Linked DNA regions of Xenopus tropicalis. The protein of the gene in region 1 purifies or fractionates together with the protein of each later gene. This does not show direct contact. Links are inferred from orthologs where the notes say so. Each region holds a gene or a part of one and is shown in the gene's direction. Other genes may lie near its edges.

Region 1 (3,760 bases):
TATCTGTTTCTTTAAGCAAAATCACACTTAATTTCTTGTGTCTGATGTAAATGCACATAATACATATTAATGACTTCTCTGAGAAAGCCAAATGATCAAATTAGCCCAATATCGCCCACTTTTAGGTGGGCATATTGGGAAAAGATCTGCTCACTTTGCTACCTCGCCAAAAGATCGAATCTTACAGTGTATGGCGACCTTTACTGCAGACGGGGGGAGGGGGGGTTAAATCAGGATGACTTTTGAGAAATAAAGGGGAGTAAACATGGCTGACTATAGATATTGCTTTGTTCATCAGTTGTTAAAATGTAATCTTCTGTTGCACCATTTGAGCTAGTGCCCAGCACATGTGCAGATGAGTGGAGCAGATAGCCAGAACAACAGTAAGGTGGCGATTTCATGTATAGTATGTGTATGGTCTGATCAACTGGACAATGTGTGGGATGGGCCCATGTAACACTCCACCTTAACACTCCATTGAGCAAGATATGTTGTAAGGGGGCTTTCATTAGGCAACAGGTAAAGATGTATAAACACAGCACAAACACTGGAATAAAAGCTAGAATATTTTGCTTCAGACAAATATAAATAGTACATGATGTGTTGATTTAAACAAATAATTTGATATATTTTTATGTTGCTAGTTCATAAAAGGAGAATGGGGGTGCCAACGTGTTACCCATCCCAGTGAATAAAATTGCCTACTTTTTACACTGGTCTGACACTACCTGTGGACTGGTCCTTTCCAGTGCAGTACCACAACACTATCTTCCTCCCTTCTTTCAGTTATTCCTTGGGCAGTAGCAAAGCTTTGGAGTTGATGTCTGCTGACCTGCCATTTTCCTATACCCGTGTTATGAGTCTAGGGGGACCCTGACTATCATTAGGTTGAGATTTTTTTCCACTTCACACTGAATGGTATGGCCTAAAACATGGCCGATCATTATCACATTCACGATATGATCTCTGGGTGCTTGAACTGAAAAAACACGGCCATATATGTCACTATGAAATAAAGCTGACCGAAAAAAAAAAAAAAACCCTTCTCACAGGAAGCCCGACTGGAAGGGCGGTCCCGAACGCTTGGGCTGCGTGACGTCACTAGCCGCTGTCAGAGTGGCAGGAGACCCGCCCAGACAGCAGCGACAGCCTGGCTTCCTTCGAGTGTGGGCGGCAGCGGAGCCCGGGTTGCGGTGGATGTAGGGGCGGGAGATTGGACGGCGGTCAGGACGTATGTTACGTGACAGGACCGTTCCATAATCAAACCTTATCGCTTGCTTGCGGAGTGGACGCGCTCGCTTTCCCTTCTTCCCTCTCCGGAGCCATCGGTGGCGGCCCCTCGCTGTTAACCGCGGCCCCTGCCACGGAGGGCGGCCATGGACGAGCAGGCGGGGCCCGGCGTATTTTTCAATAACAATAACAATTCGCTGCTGTCCGCTGGTGCTGGCCCAGGTGGTGCCGGGAAAGGGTTCGAGGCTGGTGCAGCAGATGCGGCCTCAGTGGCCGGGGGAGGCGGAGGAGGAAGCGCTGGTACGGCTGGTAGGGCCCAGTACAGTATCCCTGGCATCCTGCACTTCCTTCAGCATGAGTGGGCTCGCTTTGAGGTGGAGAGAGCTCAGTGGGAAGTGGAAAGAGCCGAGATGCAGGTAAGGCTGGGGGCTGCTACTGAGCCCAGGCGTCTGTCACTTTCACCTCTACATTCCCATATGTGAAACGTACAAGAGTTTGGCGAGAGCTTGCCTGCATGTGTGAGCTGTGTGCCTGTGTGAGCTATATGTGCCTGTGTGAGCTATGTGTGCCTGTGTGAGCTATGTGTGCCTGTGTGAGCTATATGTGCCTGTGTGAGCTATGTGTGCCTGTGTGAGCTATGTGTGCCTGTGTGAGCTATGTGTGCCTGTGTGAGCTATGTGTGCCTGTGTGAGCTATATGTGCCTGTGTGAGCTATATGTGCCTGTGTGAGCTATATGTGCCTGTGTGAGCTATGTGTGCCTGTGTGAGCTATATGTGCCTGTGTGAGCTATATGTGCCTGTGTGAGCTATATGTGCCTGTGTGAGCTATATGTGCCTGTGTGAGCCATATGTGCCTGTGTGAGCCATATGTGCCTGTGTGAGCTATGTGTGCCTGTGTAGGCTGTGAGCCCAGGAGCAGGCAGCCTTATATCTGAGTGTGTGAGCCCAACTGGCCATGGAAACCAGGGCTCCCATTTATACACGAGAGGAATATGATGTGTGGGAGGAGACCCTCACAGGCATGTACAGTATCAGGCATGTACAGTATGTGTGAGATCACACCCAGACATTCTATATCATGGGAACACCTGAACTGTGTTTGTAAGCTTCTACAGTTCTGACTTGTGAACATCATCATTACTTATTTACAATATCTTCATTTGTCATTCTGTGATGTTAGATATTGACAGTCATAAGGGTAAAGAAAGATCTCAATGAACTGTTTTTTTGCCCAGTGAAAGCAAAAGTACAGTCATTTCCTAATATTCATTAATAAAAAAAAAATAGCGGTTTGTGTTTATCCCTTGCTGTTCCCTGGTTCTGACTTTTGGAACAATGTCGCAGAAGTCAGTTCTCCCCCATATCTTCTAATTAGCATCTGCTACAATGTTTCAGGGCTAGGAATCAGAACTGTAGCTTTGGACTGGAATTGCATTTGCAAATAATTTTTGTAATGTGAATAATAGGTGTTGGAAAGTTGCTTGGAATCTTCTTTGTCATTAAGCAATGTGGGTAATTTTACACATGCTTTTATCTGTCGGCACACATAAGTTGACCTCCATTTTATTGAAACACCATCTATTCAGTATTTAGCACATGTATGATGTGCACAGTGATGTCATGTGTGCCATATGTGTAAGCTTACGTTAGGTATATTTCAAATGGAAATGGAATGGACCCACTGCTGGCTTCTGTTTACACAGAAACAGATCACAAACTAATTTGAACTTGCTCTTGCCCTACATATGGAGGTTACTGAAGTTTCTAGATATGTAGACACGTCAGCCCATTGGCTCATACTGCATGCATGCATACATCCACAAAATCTTATTTATAAAAAATTTTAAAAAAAATAATGTACCCCTTTCACCTCAGATTGACTTTGTATACAATAAAACCATCATCAGTCATGCTGTTGCTGCATGTGGGTTAAAGTTTATGGACACTACACATAATTTTTCACTTCCACTAACAAATATCTCTTGGATGGGGTCTAGTATTTTACTTTTAAAGGAGAAGAACAGACATACAATACAAGAATTCCAATACTTTCCTGCATGTTACATTTATGTATACATTGTTACACTGGTATCCATATACATTATGTTCACTCTGTCTTTACGTGTACAAATGTTAACAGTACTCCAGCCTACATAAGGATCTCACCACCCCAACCCTAGCATTGCTGACACAACCAACTCTATGCTCTCAAGTCAGTATCAGACCTGCAATTACAACTGGGCTGGGACTGTGTTAAAGGGAATTAAATGAAAATAATAGAGCTTTCCTTATTTACTAATAGTACTGACATGATCCTGTCAATTATAGGATCCTGTCAATTATATCGGTTTTGTGAACCAAGTAGTTATGGCTTATACATTTTGATTACTCTATGGTTTGCACTTTGGTTCTGGCAAAAAACAACAACATTTTTTTAAAATACAAATCGGAGGATGTTCAGAACAGTAAATAGTTGGCGGCCACCAATTGTACAAAAAATGACTTCCATTTTAGGTCCCTCAAGGATATC
Region 2 (3,760 bases), on another chromosome or scaffold:
TTTTAAGTTCAATCCTTCTGTATTTAGAGGAGTATAATTCACTGGTATATTCTTAATTTTTATATGATATGTCTCTGGGTTCAGAATACTGTAAATTGATGCTGTTCTCAGGGCACCATAAACAAGAAACAAATTGTTACTGCATAGTAAACTATGATTTTTTCATTAGTTAGGGTGGCCATACGTCATAAGATCCGCTCATTTGGCAAGGGCCAAACAATTAAATGATGGGAATCGACACCTTTATACTGGGTTTACTTCAATATTGGCATAATTGTAAAAACAATCAGCAGTATCAGAACACTCATCTTGCTCTCTAGTTATGGTTGTGCAGAACTAGGCCTCTACAGACAGCAGTCACAAGAAAAACAGGAGCTTCAGAGCCCCAAAGAAGATAATGCAGATAGAGAGAAGCAAGTTGATATCAAATCTAATTGACTGGAAATAATGTCTAATGAGTTTAATGCCATCAAACAAATTGTATGAACCAGAAATCGTTTGTTGCACAAACATAGGAACAAAAACATAGTCCTGTTCAGAATAGTTAATTGCCTATAAGGTAATTCCATGTACCAAACACTTACAAGATGATGCCTGCAGGACCCAGGCAGATAAATCAGTGCATAGGAGTATGGAGGGGACAGACTAGAAGAGGCACCTGTATACTGCTATCCTTTTCTGTTGCTGTATTTGTGACAGACAGGCAGGGAACTGAAATAAAGGCAGGTGTACAGGCAATGTACTGATTAATCATAAAGGGGGTTATGTAACAACAGACACACAATGTTCTCCAGCTCTTGTATCTTACAGTAGTTGCTATGGGTTACTGGAACTAGGGCAATCTTTGCACCTGCTTTCTGCGGGGTTGTATGTGAGTATAAAATCTCTTTTAGTGACACTGGTGTGGGAGTGATTTGTGTATGTGCACTTTAGTTTCTATATCAGTTTCATACAACGAGTAGGCTGACGTTGGGTTTTATTGCCTGGCTGTCCAATATGAGGACCAAAGGGCTGACACGGTCCTCAAAGCGGTTCGGCCCCTAGCTTGCCCACACTGACTTTGGATTAAAGTTTATGACGTGGGTTGTATTTAAAACTATGTTTTATTTGCCAGACTACCTGCCCGCTAACTGGAGTAAAGTTAAGTAGCCGTGTTCTGCTGCATTTAGTCGTGACAATATGAATTAAAGCGATTACTATGGATACTGGGAACTGCAGTATTGTATTATTGAGGGTCACGTGTGCTGGCAGTCCGCTAAAGCAGGAATGTGCAGGTGAACTGAGAGTTAACTCTTGGCGGGCTGGAGTAGGAGGAGTAAGTGTGCTTCTGACGGGCAGGCAGAGGGTTAAGTGTGGGCTTACTGGTGGGGGCTGTCCTCTCGGCTGCTCTCCTCTTCCCTGGCTCCTCTCACTCAGTCCTCAGCAGCTGGAAGATGGCGACGGTGGAGGGGAGTGAGGAAGAGCAGGCTGAGCCTTTCTGCACTGCCCAAGGGGACACGGATAACGTAAGCGCCTCATTGTACTGCAGTTACTCCATGCAAGTGCTGCCCCGGCAGTGGGATCAGGGGGAGCGATGTGCTTTTAGCTCTGAGTCTTAGGAGCTGTCACTGGTTTATTAGAGCGATATTGATTCCTGCTTCTGGCGTACAATTTTCTGGCTTTAGTAAGAAACAGAGAGGTGCATTCGAGGGCTGCACAAATGGGGTTCGCAGCTGATTGCAGGGATAATATATGGGGACGTGTATTGGTTAAGCCTGATTCTTGCAGGGATAATATATGGGGACGTGTATTGGTTAAGCCTGATTCTTGTGCTGTATAATGCGAGCGTGCCTAGGGATTTATGTAATAAAATGTGTCAAGTGATGGTTATATGGTTCCGCCTCCCAATTGCACTTCCTAGGAATGGTGGGAAGCCGCTTGGATCTGCGCCTCCTTTCCAGTGCTTGCGATTAGCTTTGTCGCATAGGTTTTGTCTAACTGCGCTCCTCTAATTGTGTGCACTGCTGTTGAATAGGAGATTTGAAAATTCTATGAGAAGGCTGGCTCTCAGTGTATGTAACATCAGCTGTGCAGGGGAGCTGTGTCTCTATGCTGACTATCATAGACGTCTATAAATAATAGAAGACTAAGCAGCTTGAGCACAGGGATTCGCTTGTTATGATCAATATTGTATTAGCTGTATGACGACAGTGGGTTTTATTTCAATTAGTAATGTTACGTGTGTAATTTATTACCCTGTTTTCATAAGGGATATCCCAGAAAGATGGTAGGACATGGGGATTCAGTCTGCAGTTAAGTCCCCTCCACAGGGCAGACTCCCTGTACCAGAGCCCCACCATAATAGTAAGCCCAGAGTGTTATTGGGGGGGGGGGGGGCAGCATCTTTTGATAACCCCCAAATATGGAAGAGAGTAGGATATCTCTAGCAGCCTGTCTACTGCTGCTTACTTTACACACTATCCTAACCTAGAGCTCAGGGAGAAACTAAAATATTAATCTTAAAATATTACCCTTTCATAGACCCCAGGATTCTCAAGAAAGACTAGGAATAAGATTTTTTTGGATCCTTCTTTCTCAAAAGGGATTAGGAATAAAGGCTTGTTCCCTGCAGGTAAATGTTGTAGCTGGATGCTTAACAAGTTGCACATTATTAGTGACAATAAACTGGCCACCTAAGTAGCTGGTAAGGGAGCCAAAGAAAAAGACACACAGTTTGTAGATTTTGTGGCTTTTTTCCATTTTTTGCCCATTTGCCATATGAAAGATAAATTACTAGATTCCCCCTCAACTATGGATTGGTTATTCCACCAAAATTACTGCATTACAAATGATTACTCTCTGCACAATTGTCCATATATCCTTGCATTAGGACACGGTGCAATATAATGTGTTATACTGCCTATGCTATTTCCCAGCTCAGTGGAAAAATGCTCACTATTGCTGCTGCAAAGATGTACATGGGTATTTCCCTTACCCTGATGGTGTGATTGTTGGTGGGGCCATTAATGTCTGTCAGTCAACCTTTTTAGAGCAATAATTACTTGACTTGTGATCACACCAGTAGGGCAATGGTGTTTACCCTGAAAGTCTATGAAGCTGCAATTACAAGGGGGGTTGTGAGCATTTTGCAACCCTTCTTCCTGGAAATAGTCCTGGGTGCCTTTTAAATTTCCATTATATATATCAAACATTATTTATAATTTTAAATTAATTTGAATACAGAAACAATATATCAGAAAGCAGGTCCTCTCTAATCATAACTCAATTTCCCACTATTCCTTGTTCAATTCTGTTACTCTTGGAGTACTGGTTTGAGAAGAATTGACTGATGATACAATGTTGCAATGGTATGCCCAGCCAGGAAAAGGAGAGAAAGAACCTACTCTAAGTTGGAATTACATGTACACATATCTTTAAAACCATCGTTTTAATTGTTTATATTAATGTAAATTGTTTAGTTGGTTAGAATTTCACTTTTCTTTTATGCAAAAAAAAGTTTATGGGTGGACATTTTGAATAGATGTGCAAAGCTTATATTTCTTGTGCTTTAAAATAGTTTAACAGTTTAAGAATTATTATTTATGCCAACTACTTTTATAATACCAGCATTACTTGCTACTAAGTATATTATATTACAAACACGTATTAAAGGAGAAGGAAAATTAAAAACTAAGTAAGCTTTATCAAAAAGGTCTATGTAAATACAGCCATAAGCACTCACAGAGTCCTCTATCAAAAAAAACCACAGGATTTCTAGGGC
Region 3 (2,408 bases), on another chromosome or scaffold:
ATAAAAAGGGGCCCAACAGAATCAGGGTGCACTAGGTTTTTTCCCAGTGCCCTGTTGGGCCATTCCAACCTTGAATTCACAGTGCCCCAATATTCCAGTTTGGGTGCCATTGTGCACGTGCTGTTTGCTAATTACCAAGATTAGTTTAGCTGTGAACCGAAGGTACACAGCTAAACGTGGGGGACAATGCTGCCAATCATCTCTATAGTTTTGCTATGGGGGCACAGATAAGTTGTGGCATATGTCAGTGAAGTGATTAAAGAGGGGACACTGCTGCTAAAACTAAAGATTTGTCAGGGCGGCTTTACTTTTCCTTTAAATAAAAAATGTGTACAATATATTCGCTCAAAATGTTATTATTGACTCATTCAAGTCAATAATGTTATTATTGACTTGATTCATTGAGCTAAAAGTAGGATAATAATGCAAATGTGAGGTAAAAACTTTGTATATGTAACATTGTATAAATTGCACTTTTTGTTTAGTCAGTGTTTTACTTGTTTATAAAAATGTTAATGGGCTTGTTGCACCTATTGCTCTAGGGTTAGACACAAACTTGTCCTCTGACAATAGCCTGGTAACCACCATTAATATGCTGGTGACCCCCCCTCCCCAATGATGCCTCTACCAGAGGTGTGAAATGGAGACTGGGTGAAATAAAGCAAAACAGAAGAGCTTAGAAGTGATCTGAGTTACACAGCGCTTTACTCCATTGTGAAAATGTTGGAAAAAATGTTGTTAAAATGTAATATAAACGTCGTTTAAAAGACAAATTCCCAAAAGTGCCTTTAAACTGTCTTTCTTTCACCTAAAACTAAAAAGAGTCATAATATAGGCGGATTTCTGTTTGTGAATATGGAGAAAGTGTTTTACACCAGTTTTACCATCACTCTTGCTCCAAAAAAAGGCTATATCCATTTTTGTGAATTCCCCCCGATTTATATTAAAAGTTTAGAAATGTTAAAGTACATATGTAACCTAAGCATCATAGGGGTTGGGATTCATATTGATTATCCATGTCAACTATACACACACATTGCTACAGGTTTTGTAAATTTGCATAGAGCTTTGTATAATCAATACAACAGCAAACAGCATCCCAGAGTATCAATTCCACTCCACCCTTCCCTTGTTTCAACTTAAAGTGATGGATTTTGGAACTTAAAAGTCCATGACCTCTGCTTTACATGGTGGCCAGTTCACATATTCTCTAGGAAGCAGAGAGACTTCAAGTCCCAGAATCTACTAAGGAGGTCCCTGCCCATGGATCTTACAAGTTCAACTATTATTATATAACATAATACTACTTTTGTTTAACCCACTTCAGCAGTAAAATAGCTTCCTTTTAAGCAAACATGGAAATGACAAAGGAGCAGTATAAATAATGACTAAAGTACGCATGAACAGCTTGAATAATAACCATTAATGACAGGTCTGCCGAAAGCATGTCAGTTACTTCAGCTGACTTCAGCTGTGTTTTATTGACTATTGTAAATTTAAATAGGTGAAATTAGAAATAGGCAACAACTTCAATGAGATTTAATCAGTTAGGCTTTTTTTGATTCCAACCCTAAAATTAATCATGGTAATTTTAGTAGGTAAATGTGGAAATCAGAATTATCCAACCTAGAGAAAGATTGGATGAATGCAGTGTTTGATGCTGTACGTATATATGCTAATACAATGAAAAAGTATAGTATTCCTAGCCTAATCATATGTAGCCTTAGTTGTTCTTTAGAAAACTGTTATATTCCCACATATATTATATTCATACATTTATACATGTATTTTTATGCCTCTATATTTTCAGCTGGAATTTGAGAAGTCCCAAGTTAAGAAATTAGAAAAAGAACAGAAACGACTTTCCAGTCAGCTGGAGGAAGAGAAAGCCCGCCACAAGCAGCTGTCATCTGTGCTGATGAAAGAGTGTACAAAAGCCAACAACAGGGCAGTGGAAGAAGGACAGAGAGTAGATGATGTTAACCTAAAGCTGGAAAAGGTTAGGAGCAGAGTAAGTCAGCTAGAAGAAGAGCTATCTCTTGAAAAGAAACGAGGCTTGCAGATAGAAGCACAGGTGGAAAAGCAACTTTCAGAGTTTGATATTGAGAGAGAGCAACTGAAAGCCAAGTTAAATAGGGAAGAAAATCGCACAAAAACTTTGAAAGAAGAATTGGAGTCCTTAAAAAAGACATTGAAAGAGCTAAACACCACCCACCAAGTTTCAGTGCCTTCATGCAAGGTAACAAGTGAGCTGGTGTCTATTTGTGTATCAACAGAGAATGCTGACGTAGTATCTGTGTCATGCCAAACCGATCCCTTCCAACATGAAAAAAGTTACACAGATAATTCTGCAAAATCCAATGTCTCATTTACTGCTCCATCTAAGATTCCTCAGCCATATTCCAAAA

Evidence for each region.
Region 2: the proteins of strn (region 1) and cttnbp2 purify together in Homo sapiens (affinity purification with mass spectrometry; 3 studies listed by BioGRID and IntAct, with this or other methods). This does not show direct contact. The link is inferred for Xenopus tropicalis from reciprocal best matches to the Homo sapiens genes STRN and CTTNBP2.
Region 3: the proteins of strn (region 1) and cttnbp2nl purify together in Homo sapiens (affinity purification with mass spectrometry; 5 studies listed by BioGRID and IntAct, with this or other methods). This does not show direct contact. The link is inferred for Xenopus tropicalis from reciprocal best matches to the Homo sapiens genes STRN and CTTNBP2NL.

The regions. Positions count from the first base shown.
Region 1 is NC_030681.2:49,995,942-49,999,701, forward strand, and holds the start of strn (striatin), read left to right. Parts: upstream 1-1,287; 5' UTR 1,288-1,376; coding exon 1,377-1,646; intron 1,647-3,760. UniProt on the Homo sapiens protein: Calmodulin-binding scaffolding protein which is the center of the striatin-interacting phosphatase and kinase (STRIPAK) complexes.
Region 2 is NC_030679.2:68,649,546-68,653,305, reverse strand, and holds the start of cttnbp2 (cortactin-binding protein 2), read left to right. Parts: upstream 1-1,353; 5' UTR 1,354-1,433; coding exon 1,434-1,505; intron 1,506-3,760. UniProt on the Homo sapiens protein: Regulates the dendritic spine distribution of CTTN/cortactin in hippocampal neurons, and thus controls dendritic spinogenesis and dendritic spine maintenance.
Region 3 is NC_030678.2:60,505,432-60,507,839, forward strand, and holds part of cttnbp2nl (CTTNBP2 N-terminal-like protein), read left to right. Parts: intron 1-1,810; coding exon 1,811-2,408. UniProt on the Homo sapiens protein: Regulates lamellipodial actin dynamics in a CTTN-dependent manner. Associates with core striatin-interacting phosphatase and kinase (STRIPAK) complex to form CTTNBP2NL-STRIPAK complexes.